3 linked regions of the Stegostoma tigrinum genome follow. The protein of the gene in region 1 purifies or fractionates together with the protein of each later gene. This does not show direct contact. Links are inferred from orthologs where the notes say so. Each region holds a gene or a part of one and is shown in the gene's direction. Other genes may lie near its edges.

Region 1 (8,555 bases):
AGGTTATGTATGAATTTTCCGTAATAATTCACCAACACGAGGAAAGACCTACGCTTTGGTACAGATGAGAGAGCCAGACCACCTCTGATCGCCCTCACTTTATCTCCCGATGGGTGTAACCCAGACTGGTCAACTCTGTAGCCCAGTGAGATGACTATTACACCCACCTAGGGGAAGCATTTAAGCGCTTTGTCTTTATTGATCTTCCCTGTTATTAGCAAGTAAATGGCAACCTGGGCTAGACATTCTCCATGGCCCACCAGGGGCCTGGTTTCGAATCCACCCCGGGTGACTGTCTGTGTGGAGTTTGCGTGTTCTCCCCGTGTTTGTGTGGGTTTCCACCGGGTGCACCGGTTTTCTCCCACAGTCCATGGATGTGCAGGCTAGGTGGATTGGCCATGCTAAATTGTCCCATAGTGTTCAGGGGTGTGTAGATTCAGTGGGTTATAGGGGACGGGTCTGGGTGGGATGCTCTGAGTCGGTGTGGACTTGTTGGGCTGAAGGGCCCATTTCCACACTGTAGGGATTCTATAAATGTTCTCCATGGCCCACTAGGAAAGGATGCAGGCTGATGTTACCCCAAACGGCAGCCTCGTGTATTGGGACAAACCTGTATGGGTATTAGTTTCTGGGACTCCTTATCTAGTTGTATTTGCAGTAGGTGTGACTCATTTCCTGCTTTCTGAAGGACAGCTCCAGGCACACACATCCCACCCCCACCCACATGCAAATGTGAACTGATCTATCAGCTTCACAATCAGTACGACCGGTGCTGCCCATTCCACACCCTGGGCTGGTTTAATAATTCCCTCACTTCCCAGCCTCCTGGTTTCTGCTTCGACCTTCACCCCTAAGGCACCGGGTGGGCCCTTGCAGGATTGTGGGATTGTTTCCTGCTCCAAATGTGTAAGTTTGCCTTGGCTCCTGCCACAGTCCCTGGACTTTCCTGAAAAATTTCTGGGTGTTTACTTCAGACTTCACTCAGGCAGCCATTTTTCAATCGAAAAATGTGAGCCAATCAAGGTGGATCTTTCTCAATTTCACCCCCATCAAGGTTGAGCCTGAACCTTTTACTACAATCAGTGCAGTGATAACTGCACTAACTGCTTATTGAAGGAGACTGGAAGTGAAGTCGTAACCCTACTTTGTGACGGTTCCCCACCACATCATCTCAGTCCGTCCAAGGGTTTGCACAAATAGTCCAGAGCAGATCTTGTTAAAGAGATAATGGGAACTGCAGATGCTGGAGATTCCAAGATAATAAAATGTGAGGCTGGATGAACACAGCAGGCCAAGCAGCATCTCAGGAGCACAAAAGCTGACGTTTCGGGCCTAGACCCTCTCTGATGAAGGGTCTAGGCCCGAAACGTCAGCTTTTGTGCTCCTGAGATGCTGCTTGGCCTGCTGTGTTCATCCAGCCTCACATTTTATTATCTCAGATCTTGTTAAAGTCTGGTTCTGCAATCACTGATGATTCTGTGCCGGTATCAACATCCATGATAACTGCGTGACCATTGAACCAGAAATTTGTTTTGTTTGGTCCAGAACAGATGCAATAGAGAGAGAGGAAACGGGAGAATGGATTGGAGTCTTTACAGGAACTAGGCTGTGAGGATGTATAGTCAGGTAGCGGTGGAAATTGGTTGGTTTGTACTTAGATATTAGTGGCCAGTCTGTCCGCAGAAATAGAAACGGATGTTGAGGGAGGGAAAGCAGGATGGACCAGTTGAAAGTGAGGGTTGGGTGGAAAGTATAAGCAAATAGATTAAACATTTCCCATTCCGGACCAGAGAGGGAGGCAGCACTGATGATATCATCAAGATACAAGACAAAGAGTTGTGGGTGCGGGCCGGAATAGGACTGGAACAAGGAATGTTCCACGTGCCCCATGAATATTCAGGCATAACTAGGTCCGATGCAGGTACCCATGGCCATCCCTCTAACCTGAAGAAAATGAGAGGAGTTGAAAGAGTTGTTGAGGGTGAGGACAAGCAATGGAGGGTGTTGGTGGGTGGGGACGGTTTAGGCCTTTTCTCCAAGAAGCGGAGAACCCTGAGACCACCGGGGTGTGGATGTGTAGAAGGATTGCACGTCCATTGGAAAGAGGAGGCAGCTGGAGCATGCAAACTAGAAATTCCGAAACTGACATAAAGGTCAGAGGAATTGCGGATGTAAGTGGCAAGGGGCTGGACAAGGGGAGAAAAATTGAGTCAACGTAGGAAGAGAAGGGTTCTGTGGAGTAGAACTCACTTATGTGAGGGTCTGACTATGAAGTCCATGCTCCCAGAGAGGGAACGTAATTTACAACACGCGTCACTTCATCATTATTTTCTATTAAGTTAATGTTTGTTGTTTGTCATTCAACATAATTATTATTATTTATTGTCTATTACTTATTGTTGGTAATAATTATTATTAGATACTTGTTTAATAGTGTTAAATATTTGTTATTATTCATAATTATTTATTATTGCATATTTATTTTGTGTAGTTTAACATTATTTGTCATTCATTTCTTGCATATTATTTATTGTTATTTAACATTTAGTTTTTTTATATTTATTGTCTACCATGTATTTGTTTATCCTTTACTAGAATTTACCACATCTGTATTGTTAGCCATTATTTAAAATTTAGGATGTTCATACTGTTTTCGTTTACATTTATTGTTCATTATTATAAATACTTATTGTTGTTTAGCATTGTTCAATAGGGAAGGACTTACAGGGTTAATAGTAAGGTCCTGGGGAATGTTGCCAAACAAAGAGACCTTGCAGTGCAGGTTCATAGTACCTAGAGTTGCAAATAGACAGGATAGTGAAGAAGATGTTTAGTACACTTGCCTTTATTGGTCAGTGTGTTGAGTCTCGGAGTTTGGAGGTCACGTTGTTGGTTGTCTTTACAGATTGTCAGTTAGGCCATTTTTGGAATACTGTCCTTATTTCTGGTCTCCTTGCTATCGGAAGGATATTGTTAAATGTGAAAGAGTTCAGAAAAGTTTCACAAGGATGTTGCTGTGGTTTGAGGGTTTAAGCTGTAGGGAGAGGCTGAACAGGCTGGGGTGTTTTCCACTGGAGCATCAGAGGCTGAGGGGGTGACCTTATAGAGGTTTATAAAATCATGAGGGGCATGGATAGGGCGAACAGTCAAGATCTTTTCCCCAGGATAGGGGAGTCCAAAACCAGAGGGCATTAGTTTAAGGTGAGAGGGCAAAGATTTAAAAGGGACCTAATGGTCAACTTTTTCGTGCAGAGAGTGGTGTGTGTATGGAATGAGCTGCCAGAGGAAGTGGTGGAAGCTGGTACAATTAAAACATTGTGAGAACCAAAACTTGCTCACAAACTCAGCCTGAGACAAAGCCTTGGAAACAAGAACAATTTTATTCTGTGCGATCATGCTATACAGGCGCACACTACAAAGCATGTGAAGCATTCTTACACAGTTTACAAGTTGCGGAATCACACCTCCCTGGTCCCATTGGTCCAATCTTATCCTATCATTCTCCATCCTATCGGGCCGCCCTTGTTTATTGTTCCCCTTTTCTGCCGGCCTAAAACCCCATCCCCCTGTTTATTCTTTCCTTATTGGGTTAGACTGGAAAGGACAAGTTATGCAGGTGGTCGTGCTAACTGCCGCCTTTGCAAAACCTAATCGTTGGTTAATAATAAACTTCTGCTACAAAATCTTGTGACTATTTATGTAATGGTCCTCTTTTGCAAGACCACACCATTCATCATTATCTGCAGAAACAACATTTCTAATCTCTCACAACATTTAAAAGGCATCTGGATAGTTACATGAATAGGAAGGGTTTGGAGGGCTATGGGCCAAATACTGGCAAATGGGACTAGATTAATTTAGGATATCTGGTCAGCATGTATGGGTTGGAGCGAAGGGTCTGTTTCTGTACTGTACAGCTGTAGGACTCTATTATTTGTTTATTTAGTAATTTATTATTTAGCGCGATTGTCATTTCAATTAATTATTCACAGGTATTATTTACCATTATTATATTACTATTTTTTTGTTCACAGTTTATTATCGTTGATCATTATTTACTCTGCATTTATTGAATGGTTTATTATAATTATTTATTTCCCATATTTTATATACTCAATAGTTATTCATTCTTCATTTTACTATTAATTATTTAGAATTGTTATTGTATGTTATTCACTGAGTATTTATTTCTTAGTGTTTATTAATATTTGTATATAATACACTATTTACTGTATATTTTTTATTAATGTTTACCGTTGTTATTTATATTTACTGTTTATTATTTACTATTAATGACTATCTCACGATTTGCTATATGTTTATTTTTGGTTATTGTTTGTTCATTATCTATTATTTAAAATTATGAATCAATATTTATTCTTTTTTTGTTTATTTTAATCATTCATTGTACATTTGTTATTGTCTACTGTTATTCGTCATCTTTGGTCATTTACAACGTTATTGTTTATTATTTACTGTTATTTATGATCATTAATTTGTTTTTTTTTCTTGTTTATTAATTTTTAAATAAAATTCTGACATTGTACCTGACCTCTGACCCCTCCAAACCTGAGCGCGGGAAGGAAGGTCATGAAGAGAAAAATAAACCAGAGGGACTGCTCCGGCTTCTAGTTCCACTTTAAATGAACAGAAGGAGCCAGAGGGGGAGAGAGAGAGAAAAAGAGATAAAATATACCGAAAAAAAACTTTTTATAAACGCTCAACCGTGTCTGAACCCACCCTCCGATTTCCGCTTCCGGTCTGGGGCGGTGCTTCTGTGACCCCAACGTATTTATTGTTGGATGAGCCTCGGGCATTCGTTTCCGGTTCCGGTCCGGCGCTGACGTGACCCCCTCCATCGTGTTTACGGCCGGGAGGTCGGCGGTTTCCGGTTCCGTTCTGCTCTTGGCGCTCACGTGGTGCTGGCGGGTAGAAGCGGGCGCGCATCAGCTCCGGGCCGAGTGGCAGCGTCTCCTCCCGCATCGTCCGGGTCCGGGTCCGGGTCCGGGTCCGGGTCGGGGGGTAGGGGGCAGCTGAGGGGGAGAAGAGGACAAACGGCTGCGGGGTCACTAGGCCCCTCCCCCAGGGCCAGAGCGGGGGTCATTAGGCCCCTCCCCTAGGTGAGAGGGGGGGTCACTAGGCCCCTCCCCCCAGGTGAGAGGGGGGTCACTAGGCCCCTCCCCCCAGGTGAGAGGGGGGGTCACTAGGCCCCTCCCCCCAGGTGAGAGGGGGTCACTAGGCCCCTCCCCCCAGGTGAGAGGGGGGTCACTAGGCCCCTCCCCCCAGGTGAGAGGGGGGGTCACTAGGCCCCTCCCCCCCAGGTGAGAGGGGGGGTCACTAGGCCCCTCCCCCAGGTGAGAGGGGGGTCACTAGGCCCCTCCCCCCAGGTGAGAGGGGGGTCACTAGGCCCCTCCCCCCAGGTGAGAGGGGGGTCACTAGGCCCCTCCCCCCAGGTGAGAGGGGGGTCACTAGGCCCCTCCCCCCAGGTGAGAGGGGGGTCACTAGGCCCCTCCCCCCAGGTGAGAGGGGGGTCACTAGGCCCCTCCCCCAGGTGAGAGGGGGGTCACTAGACCCCTCCCCCAGGGCCAGAGCGGGGGTCACTAGGCCCGTTCCCCCAGGTGAGAGGGGGGGTCACTAGGCCCCTCCCCCCAGGTGAGAGGGGGTCATCAGGCCCCTTCTTCCCCCCCCCCCAGGGCCAGAGGGGGTCACTAGGCCCCTCCCCCCAGGTGAGAGGGGGGTCACTAGGCCCCTCCCCCCAGGTGAGAGGGGGTCATCAGGCCCCTTCTTTCCCCCCCCCCCAGGTGAGGGCGTCTCAGCAGGCCCCTTCTTCCACCCCCCCCCTCCAGGGCCAGAGGGGGTCTCAGCAGGCCCCCTTCCCCCAGGGCCAGAGGGGGTTCACCAGGCCCAGCAGGAACAGGAGGAGGTCTCCGGGGAGACTGGGAACCCAGTGTTTTGGAGCAGGGGCTTGCCCAGGTACTTAGATCCCAGACGGAGAAAGACCATTTGTAGTTGGGTGCCCAGTCGGAGAGAGTCAAACAGGCCTTTGATTTAGAGCAGGGGGGCCCTTGGGCAAAGGGTCACCTGTGAAAGGAGCAGGTTGTAGCTACTGCCCAGTGCCTGCTGCTGCTGCTGCTGCTCTGTCCCCTTTGCAGCCCTGCTGGCAGCCTGACCGTATAGCTGCTGATACGAGGTGGGGTCCTTTCCCGTATAGGGCAACATGGCGAGCTCTGACATCCTCGAATACAATGACATCTACCAGGAGTTGAAAGGAACAATGGTATGTACTCGCAAGATGGTAAGGGGGGGTTGGGTCGTGGCTGGAGAGGAAATCTCAACGTCAGGACTGTGCAGAAGTGAATGCCTGTCTTTGGTGGGATGAGGTGGTGGAAGATACACTGTCTGGGTGATATCCACCTGGGGGGTGGCCTTGGTATGATCTTAGATATTTTTTGGATTCGTTGATGGGATGTGGGCATGATTAGCTGTGTCAGCATTTCTTGCCTGATCCTAACCGTTGAGAGTCAGCCACGTTGCTGTGTGTCTAGGCCAGACCAGGTGACGATAGCAGATTTCTTTCCCTGAAGGAGACTAGAGAACCGGATGAACCACCATCTGCTGCTGATTTGACTCCAGATCTCTGGATTAGTTGGCTCATGATACCACCACTAGGTCATCATCTCCGTTTGAATGGGGGTTGGGGTCACATCTGTCCTTGGGGTGGTGAGTGGCTGAGCTGGAAATTTGCATAATGACCACTTCCTGATCTCTGTCCCATAGTCTCCTCTCTGCACCCTACCCCACTCCAGGGGAGACCCCTCATGATAGTGAGCATCTCCCCCTGAGCCTTTGTGCTCGATGGAAAACCCTCCCAGAGAAGCTGCACGTGACCTGAAGTCATAGAGATGTACAGCATAGAAACAGACCCTTTGGTACAACTTGTCCACGGGGACCAGATGTCCTAAATCAATCTAGTCCCATTTGCCAGTATTTGGCCCATACCCCTTTAAACCCTTCCTATTCATAGACCCATCCAGATGCCTTTTAAATGTTGTCATTGTACCGGCCTCCTCCACTTCCTCTGGCAGCTCGTTCCATACCTGTGCCACTCTGTGCAAAAAAAAAGTTGCCCCTTAGGCCCCTTTTAAATCTTTCCCCTCCCACCTTAAACCTATGCTCCTCTAGTTTAGGACCCCCCCCCCCCCCCCCCGTCATGGGGAAAAGACCTTGGCTATTTACCCTGTCGATACCCCTGATGATTTTATAAACCTCTATATGGTCACCCTCAGCCTCCAACAGTACAGGGAAAATAGCCCCAGCCTATTCCGCCTCTCCCAGGAGCTCAAACCTTCCAAACCCAGCAATATCCTTGCAGATTGTTTCTGAACCCTTTCGAGTTTCACACCATCCTTCCTATAGCAGGGAGCCCAGAATTGAATGCAGTATTGCAAAAGTAGGCTCACTGTACAGCTGTAACATAACCTCCCAATCGGTATACTCGCTTGATTCATGGAACAGTAAAGGCCAGCGTACCGAATACCACCTTCACTGCCCTGCCTGAAGTCTGAGTCCCTGGTGGTGAGGGTGAGGAGGGAGTTCTGTCAGGGATTGTGTTGTAACCTGTGAGCTGTTCCTACCCACAACCCTGTGCAGATCGATGGACGCCTGCGTCTGAGCCGTCAGACAATTGTCTTCAAGAACAGTAAGACCGGGAAAGTGGACAGTGTCCAAGCCTCGGATGTCAGTGATGGAGTGTGGCGGCGTGTTGCCAGGGGTTATGGCATCAGGCTCCAGCTAAAGAATGGCAACCTCTGCAAGTTTGATGGATTCCGGGAAGGGGTGAGTGTGGAAAGACAGACCAAGCCTGAGGCTGTTGGGAAGGAGAATCTCCCTCCTGGCCCCTCTTTCTCCCCGCCACCCAATCACCTCTGGTCAGGAGAGCTCTTGAATTCTGTCTTGACAACTTGTTTTCCTGTCTGCAGTCACGCCACTCAACCCATCGCATCTATCCCTGTGCTTGCTGATCTTAGAGCTGATCTCCTCTTGTCCTGCTCCATCTGCCCCACTCCCTCCCTTAACCACGCACATGAGTAGGTGCACGGTATCCCACACTTCCACAAAGTGTTAGCCAACTGAGGGATATAGAGACTGGAACTGTGCACGGTGCTCCCAGTGTGGGTCTGACTGAGGGATATAGAGACAGGAACTGTGCACGGTGCTCCCAGTGTGGGTCTAACTGAGGGATATAGAGAAAGGAACTGTGCACGGTGCTCCCAGTGTGGGTCTGACTGAGGGATATAGAGACAGGAACTGTGCACGGTGCTCCCAGTGTGGGTCTAACTGAGGGATATAGAGACCGGAACTGTGCACGGTGCTCCCAGTGAGGGCCTAACTGAGGGATACGGAGGTCGGAACTGTGCACGGTGCTCCCAGCAAATAGCCATCTGTATTTGCTGGTCGATATCTTCTGTCCCACTCTCGTGCATATGCTCTGAAGTGCAGATCCTGAACTAAAGACAGAGAATGCTGGAGAAGCTCAGCAGGTCCCAGCAGCGTCT
Region 2 (7,636 bases), on another chromosome or scaffold:
GATTGGATCTTCGCTGTGTAGATTTTGCTATCACCAACCCTCCTTGTAATGCAGATGTATAGGATTTATTACAGTTAGTAATGCAGGTTTAAACATGAGTAAATCTTCAGCCGAACCCGCAATGTACTTGTGCAATGAGGAAGTTTATTACACAATCATAAGATGCTAGATTACATTAGCTAAGACTAGTAAACTTTGTGACAACGTAAGTAAGACTGTATCAGTTGCAACACAGTAACTAGGTCTATGCTACATGACTGTGGTTTGTAGAACTGACTAATTACAAACTGGAACAATTAACTAACTTATCCCAAAGACAGTCATTTATATCATTGGGTGGCGTCTTTCTTTTTCAAAACTTTCGAGCTAACCCTCTCAGGACAAATGCCCTAATAAAATTCTATACCATTTTTAACAAACAGAACTTGCATTTACATCTGCTTTTGCAGTCACCAGATGTCTCAAACTGCTTTACAATCAGTGAAGTTGTTTCTGAAATATCGTAATGAAAATGCAGTGGCTGATATTTGCTTAGTGATCTCTCTCAAACAGCAATTTGATAAAGACCAGAATTTGTTTTCAGTGCTCACAGAGGTATAAATATTGACCACCCAACCAGGATTATTCCTACTTTTTCTCAAAATAATTTCTTCTACATCCTTCCATCCTTTTCCATCAATAATGAACGGTTCCGCTTCAGAATGCTCAGTATCATTCATGACTCAAGTACTGAAGCAGTCTATTTCCACGTGCAGCATGACCTGGCCGTTATCCAGACTTGAGTATGTAACATTTTTTTCCACACAAGTGCCAAGCATTGACCATCTCAAAACAAGGCAAGGAAATCAAATCGTTGAGTGTTGGTAATTTAAATAACTGGGGACAATGTCCTACACAGTTACAATTGGCCAGAAATTGAACTGCAAAAGCAATTGTTACGATGTGGAGACAAGTCTGAACCAAATCAGTCTTTCCAACTCTATTCACCAGACAGTAAAATTTAACCGTTCGAAATACCCGGACAGATAGTGCAATGGCTCTTAACCAGATTTTTGAATAAAAAATCTCTGACTTTGTGAATAATTAATTCCAGACACCAGTTTTATATCTTAAAATGTACAATAATTTGTGATTAAAAAAGTCATCTAATTGATGTATAAGCTTTTACCCTGAAACATTTGTTCATAGCCTACATCCACACTAAAGGCAGACAGATAAACCAATAGTTAATGGATAAAGAAAATAATGAAACTGTCCTGATGACTTAAATGTTTGATAGTGTTGTTTCATGGACATAAATATGGACTGCCTAGCTGTTTTTTTGGGAACACCGATCATAGCTACCTTTTCAGTTCACTCAGTTAAAGGTAGCTCAGCTTTCTACTCTTTCAGCTTCCATAGTGTGTGGGGGGGGGTTAGTCTGGGAGCTTTCAAATCTTCATTCTGTGTCACTAGCTGCCAAACCCATCTCCCCAGAAAATACATTTTTTAAAAAAATCTTCAACTTTGCCCTGAGAGAATGCCCAACTTTTCCTGAAACCTCAATTACTATTCAGCATCTGCTATCTGCTTGAATACATCATCACTTCCCAGGTACTGAGCAGGTTAATAGCCAAGTTCTGCTATCTGTTTAAACACAATGCTCCTTCTGGGGTCTTTGTGGTGGTAGGAACCCTTTTAATCAAAAGTTATCCTTCAGTTAGTCTCTAGGCCTAACCTCTCAAACAAACAAATCTTAGTAGGTTTGTTCTTTTTCTCTTACCCACAAGCTGTTCCACAAAGGCCACTAGTCATCTTCAGCTCAAAATTTCCAGTTCACAGCTCCAAAGCAAAATTGAGAACAGAACCAACGTAAAACTTATGAATAATCAAGAAGTGCTGGAATACAATATAAATATTGTGGCTACAAGAACAGGTCAGAGGCCAGGAATTCTGCAGTGAATCACTCACTTCCTGTCTCATCAGTAACCTCTTTCCACCGTCTCCAAGTCACAAGTCTAGAGTGTGATAGAATACTCTTCTCTGCTTCACCACAGTTCCAGTATCACTTGAGAAGCTTGACACCATAGAGAACAAAGCAGTCCACTTCACTGGAACCCCATCCATCATGTACAACACTCACCCACCTCACTGCTGATGCAGTGTCAGCAGTGTGCATCTACAAGATGCAGCGCAGTAACTCATCAAATTTCCTTAACAGTACCTTAATCGTAGTTTACTCATCATAATGGACCAAACAGTATAAAATCCAAGCGGACTAGAATAACACCACTTCCTCGGAGGCTCCACTGATAACGTCACCTAGCATGCTGATGAAATGTCTGAACGAGAACAGGCCAGCTCGGCAAGCAAGTTAACAACCTCACCCATCAGAGCTACAGATCTTCGCCAAAAACTTTGCTCTTGCAATGATCCTAACTTGGAACAATATTGTCATTCCTTCACTGTCACTGGGTCATCAACTGATATTCCCTTCTTAACAGTTGTGTGTAACCCCCCTACACCTCAGGAACAGCAAGTTCAAGAAAGCTACTCACCACACTTTCTCTAGGGTAATCTGGGATGAGAAATAAATGCCACCCTAGCCAGTGACACCCATATTCCATCAAGGAATTTAAAAATTCCATCTGAACAGGTAGAAAATCAGTTTTAACATCTCATTCTATGACTGCACCTTCAATACTGAAGCACTCCCTCAGTATTTGGCCCTGGAATATGGGCCTTGATTTTTGTACTCAAGCCCCCAAGTGGAACTAAGTTTTGAAATTTTATGCTTTGGAGGTGGGTGGGCCATCATAGAGGCACTGCTGACCATGATCATCATTAAGATCTCCCTTGTAACATTGCTTGATTCTGGTCCACGTGAGCTCATCTGTTGCTGTTCTGGCCCACCTCTCTTTCCTCTTTTAAGAGACATGTTTAAAAAAAAGTAAAATACTGCAGTTACAGAAAATTTGAAATAAACACAAAAAAATTTTGATATATTCAACAGGCTTCCAGGGAAAGAGATAACATTTCATCAAACCAGGAAAATTCAAAAAGTAAGAAAAGCAAATAAAGGGATAACAGAAAAATAAAACAAATATTTAGATAAGCCTTTGAAATTATACACCGAAATTGTTGAGGTATTTTCATACTGGAAAGGGCCCAATGGAAAGATTCAGTCACACAGCACAGAAACAGATCTTTCACTCTAACTCGTCCATTCTGACCAGTTTTCCCAAACTAAACTAGTTCCATTTGCCTGAATTTGGCTCATTTCCGGACAAACAGGCCCCCTAAACTTTTGCCATTCATGAACCTGTCCAAATGCATTTTAAATGTTGTAATTGTACCCTCCTCTACCACTTACCCCTCAGTTCATTCCCTATATGCAACATACTCCAAGATTAGACTCCTTGAGCTACGTTGGAACAGCAGGAGGCTCATAGACGGTAACACATCACAAGATGGAGATTGAAAATGACTAATGATTGCTAATTTGGTCTCATATGCTTGTGAACTGAACGAAATGTTCCACAAGATTATTTAACCTCGTTCGATTTCCGAGTGTACAAAATTAGAATTGACACAGGCAATCCTATTTCGTCTAAATGGATGGCCTTGGATACTGTTTAAGGGAGATTAGGTAAAAGGGCAAGCGTTTGATCTCCCTGTTTACTTGAAAGACGGGAGGAAAGGGGAAGAGGACGTTTTGGAATGGTCCGCAGGGCAGTTGAAAGGGGAAGATGTGTTACAGCCATGTAACGTTTAATGTGAAAATTTGGGGGAAGACGGAAAAGGAAGCGTGTGTGGCTCTCTGTAGGAAGGGAAAGAGCGGAAATGTGGAAAATATATGGGAGATAGTGGTACAAGAACCCCATTTTCTTGGCCAATTTTTTTTGTTTATCTGAATTAATAGTACTTTCCATGATTGTGCACAATTTCGTTTCATAATATTACTGTGATGCTTTTTCACTTTGCTGAATTAAAAGCGCTCTATAAATGAAAGCAGTTGTTGATTCAGTAGCACCTCACGCCTTCATCCGAGATTGTCTTTGACCAAACCAACTGGTTGGAGGTGGGGGTGGATGTAGGAAGCTGGAGAACAAAACAAAGTTGAGGTAAAACCTAATAAATCTTGGTGTTAGTATTTTAAAATTACAGTAGAAGTACATTACTGAAATGTAAATGATTTCCGGCCTTTACAGCAATTGGTAGTTTGTAAAATGTAAGGAAGGTGTGGAGACTTCTTTTCCCCCGCTTCCTGTGGAAGTTGCTGTCTTTGGGGAAAGGGGGTGACGCCATTTTGTTGTCCCGGATCCCGGGTCGGAGGCCAGCGGCGGTTCGTGGAACCCGGCAGCTGGCTTACGGTGAGTGGCGCCCGGGTTTGATGGCGGGGAAGCGGGTGAGGGATGGCGGAGAGTGGGGTTTGGTGACCGCCGATGATTCCCCCTCCTTTGAGGTGACGGTCTCCGGACTCGTTGCAGACTGTGCGTGATATGGTTGTCAGAGCTTCCGCACAGCGCACTTTGTCACGAGTCACTCATGGTTTCAGGGAATGGCTACCCTTCCAGCACCAACTGTAGAAGTTTAAAATTTTGAGGTTTGGACCTCGAGGGAAGAAATCAGGTTTTGTTTTCGAGTCCAATTTGACTCTTAACAGTCAAATTGGACTCGGACTCGGAACGTGAACTAGGTACCTCCACCACCACCTTTTAACCGTTTCTATTTGTTTTCAGTATACGCAGTCTTTTGTTTGAAGAACACAAGTTTAATTTTGGTAATGCGTGCTAACATAAAATATTCTAATCGGAAACCTCTTTATAAATTAATGTGCTCATGATCATAATGAAAATTCATAATCGTCGCACTCGTTCCTCACCTACTTGTGATGACTTTAAACCAACCATTGGCATTATTATTATGGTAGAATACAGAGAAAATTAGGACTGAATTATATTTAGAGATAATGGGAACTGCAGATGCTGGAGAATTCCAGGATAATAAAATGTGAGGCTGGGTGAACACAGCAGGCCAAGCAGCATCTCAGGAGCACAAAAGCTGACGTTTCGGGCCTAGACCCTTCATCAGAGAGGGGGATGGGGAGAGGGGACTGGAATAAATAGGGAGAGAGGGGGAGGCGGACCGAAGATGGAGAGAAAAGAAGATAGGTGGAGAGAGTATAGGTAGGGAGGGGATAGGTCAGTCCAGGGAAGACGGACAGGTCAAGGAGGTGGGATGAGATTAGTAGGTAGATGGGGGTGCGGCTTGGGGTGGGAGGAAGGGATGGGTGAGAGGAAGAACCGGTTAGGGTGCAGAGACAGGTTGGACTGGTTTTGGGATACAGTGGGGGGAAGAGCTGGGCTGGTTGTGTGGTGCAGTGGGTGGAGGGGGCGAACTGGGCTGGTTTAGGGATGCAGTTGGGGAAGGGGAGATTTTGAAACTGGTGAAGTCCACATTGATACCATTAGGCTGCAGGGTTCCCAGGTGGAATATGAGTTGCTGTTCCTGCAACCTTCGGGTGGCATCATTGTGGCAGTGCAGGAGGCCCATGATGGACATGCCATCTAAAGAATGGGAGGGGGAGTGGAAATGGTTTGCGACTGGGAGGTGCAGTTGTTTGTTGCGAACTGAGCGGTGGTGTTCTGCAAAGCGGTCCCCAAGCCTCCGCTTGGTTTCCCCAATGTAGAGGAAGCCGCACCGGGTACAGTGGATGCAGTATACCACATTGGCAGATGTGCAGGTGAACCTCTGCTTAATGTGGAATGTCATCTTGGGGCCTGGGATAGGGGTGAGGGAGGAGGTGTGGGGGCAAGTGTAGCATTTCCTGCAGTTGCAGGGGAAGGTGCCGGGTGTGGTGGGGTTGGAGGGCAGTGTGGAGCGAACAAGGGAGTCACGGAGAGAGTGGTCTCTCTGGAAAGCAGACAGGGGAGGGGATGGAAAAATGTCTTGGGTGGTGGGGTCGGATTGTAAATGGCGGAAGTGTCGGAGGATGATGCGTTGTATCCGGAGGTTGGTAGGGTGGTGTGTGAGAACGAGGGGGATCCTCTTTGGGCGGTTGTGGCGGGGGCGGGGTGTGAGGGATGTGTAGCGGGAAATACGGGAGACGCGGTCAAGGGCGTTCTCGATCACTGTGGGGGGGAAAGTTGCGGTCCTTGAAGAACTTGGACATCTGGGATGTGCGGGAGTGGAATGTCTTATCGTGGGAGCAGAGGCGGAGGAATTGGGAATAGGGGATCTAATTTTTGCAGGAGGGTGGGTGGGGGGGAGGAGGTGTATTCTAGGTAGCTGTGGGAGTCGGTGGGCTTGAAATGGACATCAGTTCCAAGCTGGTTGCCTGAGACGGAGACTGAGAGGTCCAGAAAGGTGAGGGATGTGCTGGAGATGGCCCAGGTGAACTGAAAGTTGGGGTGGAAGGTGTTGGTGAAGTGGATGAACTGTTCGAGCTCCTCTGGGGAGCAAGAGGCGGCGCCGATACAGTCATCAATGTACCGGAGGAAGAGGTGGGGTTTGGGGCCTGTGTAGGTGCGGAAGAGGGACTGTTCCACGTAACCCTCAAAGAGGCAGGCATAGCTGGGGCCCATGCGGGTGCCCATGGCCACCCCCTTAGTCTGTAGGAAGTGGGAGGAGTCAAAAGAGAAGTTGTTGAGTGTGAGGACGAGTTCAGCTAGGCGGATGAGGGTGTCGGTGGAGGGGGACTGGTCAGGCCTGCGGGACAGGAAGAAGCGGAGGGCCTTGAGGCCATCTGCATGCGGAATGCAGGTGTATAGGGACTGGACGTCCATGGTGAAGATGAGGTGTTGGGGGCCAGGGAATTGGAAGTCCTGGAGGAGGTGGAGGGCGTGGGTGGTGTCACGGACGTAGGTGGGGAGTTCCTGGACCAAAGGGGAGAAAATGGAGTCCAGATAGGTGGAGATGAGTTCGGTGGGGCAGGAGCAGGCTGAGACGATGGGTCGACCAGGGAAGGCAGGTTTGTGGATTTTGGGAAGGAGATAGAAACGGGCCGAGCGGGTTTGGGGAATAATAAGTTTGGAGGCTGTGGGTGGGAGGTCCCCTGAGGTGATGAGGTCATGAATGGACCATTTCCACTCCCGCTCCCATTCTTTAGATGACATATCCATCATGGGCCTCCTGCAGTGCCACAGTGATGCCACCCGAACGTTGCAGGAACAGCAACTCATATTCCGCCTGGGAACCCCGCAGCCTAATGGTATCAATGTGGACTTCACCAGCTTCAAAATCTCCCCTTCCCCAACTGCATCCCTAAACCAGCCCAGTTCGCCCCCTCCACCCACTGCACCACACAACCAGCCCAGCTCTTCCCCCCCCCCCCCCCCGCATCCCAAAACCAGTCCAACCTGTCTCTGCCTCCCTAACCTGTTCTTCCTCTCACCCATCCCTTCCTCGCACCCCCATCTACCTACTAATCTCATCCCACCTCCTTGACCTGTCCGTCTTCCCTGGACTGACCTATCCCCTCCCTACCTCCCCAACTATACTCTCTCCACCTATCTTCTTTTCTCTCCATCTTCGGTCCGCCTCCCCCTCTCTCCCTATTTATTCCAGTTCCCTCTCTCCATCCCCCTCTCTGATGAAGGGTCTAGGCCCGAAACGTCAGCTTTTGTGCTCCTGAGATGCTGCTTGGCCCTCTGTG
Region 3 (8,424 bases), on another chromosome or scaffold:
AACAGCAAAAACATTCACATTTATGTAACACTTTAAATGAACAAATATGGCCAAAATCATTTTATAAAAGCAAAATTAAAGAAATGTTAGGAAGTGTGGAGATAATCTTAGCCAAAGAGTTAGATTTAAGGAGGGATTTGAAGGACAGAGATGTGGAAAGGAATTCTGCAATGTTGAAATTAAGCAACTGCAGACATGACTGGCAATAGTAGCGTACAAAACTAGAAGATGCACAAGAGACTTGTGCAAATAAATTGGAAAGTTTGGGGATAGATTTTCAGCAAGTAAAGGTTATACAGCAAGGAAAGGGCAAAATGACGGCCAATCCTAAATGTAAAGATCATAATCTTAAATTTGAGGCATGGGTGGAATCAGTCAGCAAGATAGGCTGGGGATTAAGTAGTTTCACCTTAGGATGCAGGCAGCATAGCTCCGAATAAACTTGACTTTATGGAGTTTGAAGGACACATAGTTATCCAGAAGAGTTGTGTGCAGAAGTGACAAAAATAATATAAGCGAATGTGCCAAATAGGTCAGAGGTAATCAGAAGGAGACTGACAGTGCTTTTTGTGAAGGATAGGATATATAATTGGAAACTCTGAAGGGACTGAACAGGTTGCCAAGGTCTTGAACAGTTTGTTTCAACTTAAACCAACAGCCAGGGAGGAGAATGAAGTCGGTGTCATGGATATGGAGTTTGTGACAGGGCCAAATTTGATAACTTGATAGCTGGAAGAGATAATTGCTCATCCAAGACTGGAGGTCAGACAAGGAATATGTTAACACAGAAAATGAAGAAGGGACAGAGGTAGATGAGGGCAAAAGAAATGATGAAGTGATAGCCAAAGTTGATGGCCATGAGATAATTCCACTGTGATGTTGCAAGAATGGCAAGAGACTTTATTGCTCAAGTTAAGGGGGTCATAGCTTCTCCCTTTCTTGGCCTCCTTTCAGTCAATCACAACAAATATACAAGTACACAAGAAATATATTTTTGTTTTGCTTCTCTTTTAGCATCTAGCCATGACACTTCAATCAACTTAGTTAACCCAGATTTAAAATGGAGAGCCAATTCTAGTGGTTTCTTGAGTGAAGGACAGTAGTGTTTTAGTACATCAAAGAAATAACGAAAAGTGACAAACACACGGACAAAAACACTGCTGTGAACTTACAGAGAAGGTTAGAGGTGAATCTGTATTTAATATAGGTTGGGAAATAAAGGCGAATGTTAAGTTATAGTTTTCCAGCGTCTTCGAGTTGTATGAAGGCAGTACGACTGAGATGTCATTGGAAGAGGTTCAGGGATTCCCCCATGTCATATGTTGCAGATGTCAGGAGAGTAAACAGATTGTGGTACATGTATGGATTAATTAATGAATTTATGCCAGTGGGATAGATTCATTCCTGCCATAGGGATAGAAATCAGTACACAGACTGATCTTAAGGGACTTGATAGGACAGGCTGTTTCTCCTTGTGCAAGAGTCTAGGACCAAAATGCATATTCTCATAAGGGGTCACATGTTTAAAACAGAGATGACAAGGAATTTCTTCTCTCTGAGGCTTGCAAATCTGTGTAATTATTTATTGCGGAGGGCTGTTGAGGCTGGGTTGTTAGGTATAGTCAAGAGGAAGATAGATTTTTAATCAGGAAGGAAATCAAGAGTTAAGGAAAAGGACAGTGGAATTGAGGATTATCAGATCAGTTTTGATCTCAATGAATGGTGGAGCAGGCTTGATGTGTTAACTGGGCTACTTCTGCTCCATATCTTATAGCCTGTAACTTGTACAGTGCAAATATTACTTGCCACTTGTCAGCCTAAGCCTGAATGTTGTCCACATCTTGCTGCATCTGGACATGGACTGTTTCACTATCTGAGGAGTCACAAATGATACAGAACATTGTGCAATGAGCAGCAGTCATCCTCATTTCTGATATTACGATGAAGGGAAGGCCAAGAGGATGGTGGTGTCTTTTCCCAGCTCTGGTGCAAAACCATTTATCTGAAACATTAACTGTTTTTATTTCCACAGTATTACAGAGTTGTTACTGAGTAGAACGAAGCCATTCATTCCTGCACTGGGTCTCTAAGAGAGCATTTGATTTAGAGTCATTTCTCTGCATTCTCACCAAAATCCTACACATTGTTCCTTTTCATTGTTCTGTCTAATTTGCTTTTAAACATCTAAATTGAACCTGTCTCCATCACTCTCCAGACAGTGCATTCTGGATCTTAACTACTCATTGCTTGACTTATATCACTTTTACTTCTTTTACTAATTAGTTTAATTACGTGCCTTCTTGTTCTCCAATCTTTCATGAGTGGAAACATTTTCTACTAATTTACTTTGTCCAGTGCTGTCATCATCTTAAGTACTTCATTCAGATCTCCTCTCAGTCTTCTCCTCTCCAAGGAAAGCAGTCCCAATGTCTCCCATCTATCTTCATAACTGGAATTCCTCATTCCTGGAATAACTCCCATAAACATAATCTATAGTTCCGCGAATGCCTTCATTGTGAATGCCTATTTTGTGAGTTATGTGCCCAAAACAGACATGGTACTTAAGCTGAGACTGAATGTAAGTTTAGCATATCCTACCTGTCTTTACTCTATTTCCCCGATTAAAATAAAAGGTGTGTTTTAATAGCTGGTCACCCTTTGTGACTAAAAACATACACAACCAAGTTCCTCTGCTTCTGCACTCATTTTAAGACCATAAGAGCATAAGACATAGGAGTGGAAGTAAGGCCAGTTGGCCCATCGAATCCACTCCACCATTTAATCATGACTGATGGGCATTTCAGCTCCACCTATTCATACTCTAACCGTAACTCTTAATTCCTTGCGAGATCAAGAACTTATCAATCTCTGCCTTGAAGACACGTAACATCCCAGCCTCCACTGCGCTCCGTGGCAATGAATTCCACAGGCCCACCAATCTCTGGCTGAAGAAATGTCTCATTTCCATTCTAAATTGACCCCCTCTAATTCTAAGCCTGTGCCCACGGCTCCTAGTCTCCCCGCGTAACAGAAACAACTTCCCAGCGTCCACCCTTTCTAAGCCATGCATTATCTTGTAAGTTTCTATTAGATTTCTCCTCAACCTTCTAAACTCTAATGGATACAATCCCAGGATCCTCAGCCGTTCATTGTATGTTAGGCCTACCATACTAGGGATCATCCGTGTGAATCTCTCCTGGACACTCTCCAGTGTGGCCCAAAATTAGACACAGTATTCTAAATGGGGCCTAATTAGAGCTTTATAAGGTCTCAGAAGCACATCGTCGCTTTTATATTCCAAACCGCTTGAGATAAACGACAACATTACATTCACTTTCTTAATCATCAACCTGCAAGTTAACCTTTAGAAAATCCTGGACCAGCATTCCCAGATTCCTTTGTACTTCAGCTTTATGAATTTTCTCAACGTTTAGAAAATTGTCCATGCCTGTATTCATTTTTCCAAAGTGCAAGACCTCGCATTTGCTCACATTGAATTTCATCAGCCATTTCCTGGACCACTCTCCTAAACTGTCTTAACTCTTTCTGCAGCCTCCCCACCTCCTCAGTACTACCTGCTTGTCCACCTAACTTCGTATCATCGGCAAACTTTGCCAGAATGCCCCCAGTCCCTTCATCCAGATCATTAATAAATAAAGTGAACAGCTGCGGCCCCAACACTGAACCCTGCGGGACACCACTTGTCATTGGTTGCCATTCCGAAAAAGAGCCTTTTATCCCTAATCTCTGCCTTCTGTCAGACAGCCAATCCTCAATCCATGCCATCAGCTCACCTCGAACACCATGAGCCCTCACCTTGCTCAGCAGCCTCCTGTGAGGCACCTTGTCATAGGTCTTTTGGAAGTCTAGATAGATAACATCCACTGGGTTTCCCTGGTCTAACCTACTTGTTACCTCTTCAAAGAATTCTAACAGGTTTGTCAGACACGACCTCCCCTTACTAAATCCATGCTGACTTGTTCTAATCCGGCCCTGCACTTTCAAGAATGTAGAAATCTCATCCTTAATGATGGATTCTTGAATTTTACCAACAATCGAGGTTAGGCTAATCGGCCTATGATTTTCCATCTTTTGTCTTGATCCTTTCTAAAACAAGGGGGTTACAACAGAAACTTTCCAATCATCTGGGACGATCCATGACTCCAGTGACTTTTGAAAGATCACAACCAATGCCTCCACTATTTCCTCAGCCACCTCCCTCAGAACTCTAGGATGTAGCCCATCGGGGCCAGGAGATTTATCAATTTTTAGACCTTCTAGCTTTTCTAGCACTTTCTCTTTTGTAATGCCTACCATACTCAATGCTACCCCTGACTCTCCTTAATTGTCCGGATATTACTCATGTCTTCCACTGTTTTAGAGTTGCACCCTTTACTTCAAGTTGTCTCTCCAGATCTTCCTTCAAAAATGCATTGCTTACACCTGTATTTTGAATTTGCCACCTACCTGCCCATTCAACATATCCCTGTCTATATCCCTCTCGAAAGTGCTACACTACTCTCCCTAGTTTACAATGCTTCCAAGTTTTGTATGATTTGCAAATATTGAAATCATACCCTTCACAGCATAGTCTATGTCATTAACGTACATCACAAAAAGGAAAGGGCCCAACACTGATTCCATCCCAAGCCTTTGCCTGATGGGGAGAAAATCCATTAAGCATTACTCTCCCCCCCGCGTCATTCAACCAATTTTGGAACTATATTATTACTGCACCTATCATTCCACAAAGTCCAATACCGCCTGAACTACTGAATATTTCCAGAAATTACTCTAATGATAAGAGAATTTGCAGATTTAAGTAAGGACACTCCAAAAACTTGGACACGAAGAACCAAAAATATCAAGCGCCTCAACTAACGTCGACTGACGGCAGTGCTAACAGGAGGTTTGCCCACCACCTCGCGGTCGGAGGTCGGAACAGCAGCCGGGGAACGGGCCCCCACCCCACCTGGCGGTCAGAGGTCGGAACAGTAGTTGGTGGGTGGTTCCGGGTGGGGAGGAGGGGCGGGATAAGAGAACGATAGTTAGAAAAAGCAGTGGGTTTGCGCTTGCGCGCTGGTGATTGTGTGGGGACCGGTTCCAACATGAGCTCCCGAAAAGGTGAGGGAGCCTTTCAGCCGGCTTGGCCTTACCGGTGGGGTGGTGTAGTCACAAACATCCGTTTTGTATACCCTCAATTACCGCTCTAACCTTCTTCCTTCTCTTTCGGATTTTTCCCCCCCCCCAGTTCTGGCTCTGCAAGCGCGCAAGAAGCGAAGCCGAATCAAAAAGGAGAAGATTCTGAAGAAGTGAGTGGGGATGGTTTCGGAGCCGGGGCTGCTCGCACTCTGTCGCCCGCCTGCTGGCAGCGCCAGGCCGAGGCTTACGCTGCGGCCCGGGCCTTGTGGGCTGATTCTAGACCCTCACCTATTTCTCCTGCCCCCCCCCCCCCCCCCCCCCATCCGCCACACACCTTTCCCCATTGCGACCATCTGGTCGGTTCTTGATTTTGTTGCTGTTGCAGCGTCTGGTTTGGGATCTACTGTGTGGATGGATGGATGGTAGTTGGCTGGATGGGGGTTGGTGGCTTGGGGTACAGGGTTGGAGAGTGTTTTTTTTAAAGCCGTGTGCAGCCCACAAAGAGCCTTTCATCCACGCAAGGCGATTGACTTTTTTTTTACTTTGAAAGTTTTATTACGTTCCATTGACAAAAAAGTGATACATAAACGTGGATTGAGTTGTTGCAATCTGCACAAACTTTGCGATTAATTCTCGTTCTTTTTCCTGTAGTTGAGTTGTTCAATATTTTAATTTTTGCTGAAGCCACAGAGAGGACATGAGTTTTTTGAGAAGTGAGGTGGTTGAGGCTGTGATTTAAATAAACCTCTTCTGTTTCGTTCTACTTTCTACAGTCAAGTCTCTGGTTTCTGTTGTTTGAAGACGTGTTTGCCACTGCGCCGTCAAAGTTGTTGAGGGTGTTTTGAAGCTTCCAGAGGGTATATTTGAAATGGCCTCATATTGACTGGAGTCATGAGGTTGAGGTTGAGATATCTAGGAAAACCAATTAACAGGTTGAGTAGAATTGTAAAGTGGCAATGATGTCTTCAAGTATGATGAGGTGATCTTATAGAAAGATGGTTGACCATTGGTTAGGTGGTCTTGAGCAGGCTTTTTACAGTAAGGGATTTTGGTGAAGGATGCTATTCCTGATGTTGACCAAGAGAACATCGAAAAAGTTAAGTCTGCAGATGATTCAGATCTAGACCAAACTTTCTACAGCTAATAAGGTAGGCCAGAGATTGTTAATGGTATAGAATTCAAAATTATTGGTGCATTAGGATTTAGCACGCTGTGTTTGGTCATATAGTGTTAGCTGAAGCAAATCTGTTTTTGACAGGCTAGCTCTATAGGTTATGATTGTCCAGTCAGTTAGGTAACTGCACTCTGATCTTTCAGGGTATTGCTTTTGAAATCTGTTCACGATCATTTTGCAGCTTGGTAACCATGAAAACAATTTGCTTCTGTGATGTGGGATCATAATGTGAGTTACATCACAAAGCAGCTTTAACGGATCCATTTTCTTAAAGGGCTTTTGAAACTGGATGTAAAAAAGGCTTGTTATTAATTGGAATACTGATAGAATGTCTTGATAGATATGTCTTGATGTATTGTTGAAAGATAACTTACTGTTCCTTGTCAGTTCATAACCTCAGTTACTTCGATTCAATGTGGTTATGATGAGCACTTAGCAGCTGTGGAACTTAAGCCCTTTCCACTTCTGTGAAGTGCAGCAGGAAACTTTTTGCATGCAGAAACAGGCTTTCTGCCCTACTTCCAGCAAAATAAATCCCATTGGATTTTGACTTTTAATTCCACCTTGTTTAGTTCCTCAAGCTGTATCTGGCCTCCTGGATTGGTAATGTTGAACTGCTGTAATGGTGGGTATGTGCAATATAAAGGGCTATGTAAAGGTTTTTCCCCCTTGTTTGGCTGTTTATAAAAAAGATCAAATACCAGAAAAAATTCAGAATGAATACTCCTGTGTTACCATTTTTGCTTCAGTGTATTTGTGTGGTGATCTGAAGGCAATATCACTTCATATTTTGGGCAGCAGTAGAATACAGAACAAATACTACTTTAAGTACAAAGAAATACAGGAATAAATCTAATGAAAACATTCCAATATACTGAGAAACAAAAACATTCTCTTTGAGGTGGAAATCTTCATAGCGAGGTTATCAGTTAAAATACCCTAAGAAAATGGGTTATCAGTGTAAAATCCTTTGTCGTGAATAGTTGAATAATTTGCCTCTTCAAGGAAAATTGGATAAACTGTTGAAATGAAGATTTCTCTTCAATTAGTCTGACAGAGCTAGTACAGTTGCAGGAGATTAAACTCTTCTAAGCATGGTTCTAAATATTTTATACTTGTGATTGCAACAGTTTTCTAGTGTTTCTCCAGAATGAGCAGAATACATCAAATCTGTCAACCTCTAGGCAGAATCCATATTGACTTATGGATCTTAGCAATTTTTGGGTTGTTTAGGTTGGGCATGTAGACTGACAATATCTTTTTTATAATAAAGAATACAAGGGGCAGTTTTATAAGAAGTAGAAATGTTGCAAAATAACCCAGGAAATTCTTCCGAGATGCTCCAAATCCATTGGCATAACTTTACTGGAAGTGGAGCAGAATGTCAGCTTGTGCATGTAAGTAAAGGTCCTGTTGCACTTTATTGAAGTGGAAATGGCTCCAAGGACTTTTCCAACCAAATATGTCAGTGAGCAGACCAAGTTGGGTGATAGTTTTAAAAAAAAATCCAGTTTTCAGCTTGAGCTGATACACTGTCCTTAGAGTAAATTCAAAGGAATTACTCATGGAAATGAAAGTGTCTTGCTACTTCAGTGATTTCGCAAAATGCATTGAAGTGTTTTCACTTATAACTGAAGATTTAATTGGCACCAATAACTGCTGTATTTTAATCTGTCATTTTAAATCTGTTGCTTTATGACTATTATAGACAGTGGATTTCAGGAAATTTGATTACTTTCTGGTTATACCTGCTGGGCAGTGTAAAACCTGTGCTTTCAGTGATTGTTTCATTTGAGCATGGGTACGAAAGTCATGTGAGAAAATTTCAAGCAGGAAATCTATAAAATACATGCTTCTTGTTCACATGCAAGGTTACTATGTTTACAGAAAGGATGTTTGAACCGTGAATATACTGCAAGGGAAAAATTACTTTCTTTTGTTCCAAATGAAAGTGGATTAACTATTTCTTGTTGAATATTCAGAAGGGAAGGATTCTGTTGGTTTGAATTGCTACAAATTATGTATAGTAGTTTAGAATTGTTTTAGAATAACTAATCTTTAGGTGAAATTAGAAGATTGAGATAGCTGGCAGATTATAATTAATGGGA

The links. The genes of interacting proteins can lie anywhere in the genome.
Region 2: the proteins of FACT complex subunit SSRP1-like (region 1) and dhx9 fractionate together in Homo sapiens (co-fractionation; 3 studies listed by BioGRID and IntAct, with this or other methods). This does not show direct contact. The link is inferred for Stegostoma tigrinum from reciprocal best matches to the Homo sapiens genes SSRP1 and DHX9.
Region 3: the proteins of FACT complex subunit SSRP1-like (region 1) and SRSF protein kinase 1-like fractionate together in Homo sapiens (co-fractionation; 3 studies listed by BioGRID and IntAct, with this or other methods). This does not show direct contact. The link is inferred for Stegostoma tigrinum from reciprocal best matches to the Homo sapiens genes SSRP1 and SRPK1.

What each region holds. Positions count from the first base shown.
Region 1 is NC_081399.1:1,281,805-1,290,359, reverse strand, and holds the start of FACT complex subunit SSRP1-like, read left to right. Parts: upstream 1-5,312; 5' UTR 5,313-6,217; coding exon 6,218-6,277; intron 6,278-7,650; coding exon 7,651-7,836; intron 7,837-8,555. UniProt on the Homo sapiens protein: Component of the FACT complex, a general chromatin factor that acts to reorganize nucleosomes. The FACT complex is involved in multiple processes that require DNA as a template such as mRNA elongation, DNA replication and DNA repair.
Region 2 is NC_081361.1:44,889,627-44,897,262, forward strand, and holds the start of dhx9 (ATP-dependent RNA helicase A), read left to right. Parts: upstream 1-4,241; 5' UTR 4,242-4,352; intron 4,353-7,636. UniProt on the Homo sapiens protein: Multifunctional ATP-dependent nucleic acid helicase that unwinds DNA and RNA in a 3' to 5' direction and that plays important roles in many processes, such as DNA replication, transcriptional activation, post-transcriptional RNA regulation, mRNA translation and RNA-mediated gene silencing.
Region 3 is NC_081374.1:21,668,850-21,677,273, reverse strand, and holds the start of SRSF protein kinase 1-like, read left to right. Parts: upstream 1-5,029; 5' UTR 5,030-5,108; coding exon 5,109-5,124; intron 5,125-5,251; coding exon 5,252-5,312; intron 5,313-8,424. UniProt on the Homo sapiens protein: Serine/arginine-rich protein-specific kinase which specifically phosphorylates its substrates at serine residues located in regions rich in arginine/serine dipeptides, known as RS domains and is involved in the phosphorylation of SR splicing factors and the regulation of splicing.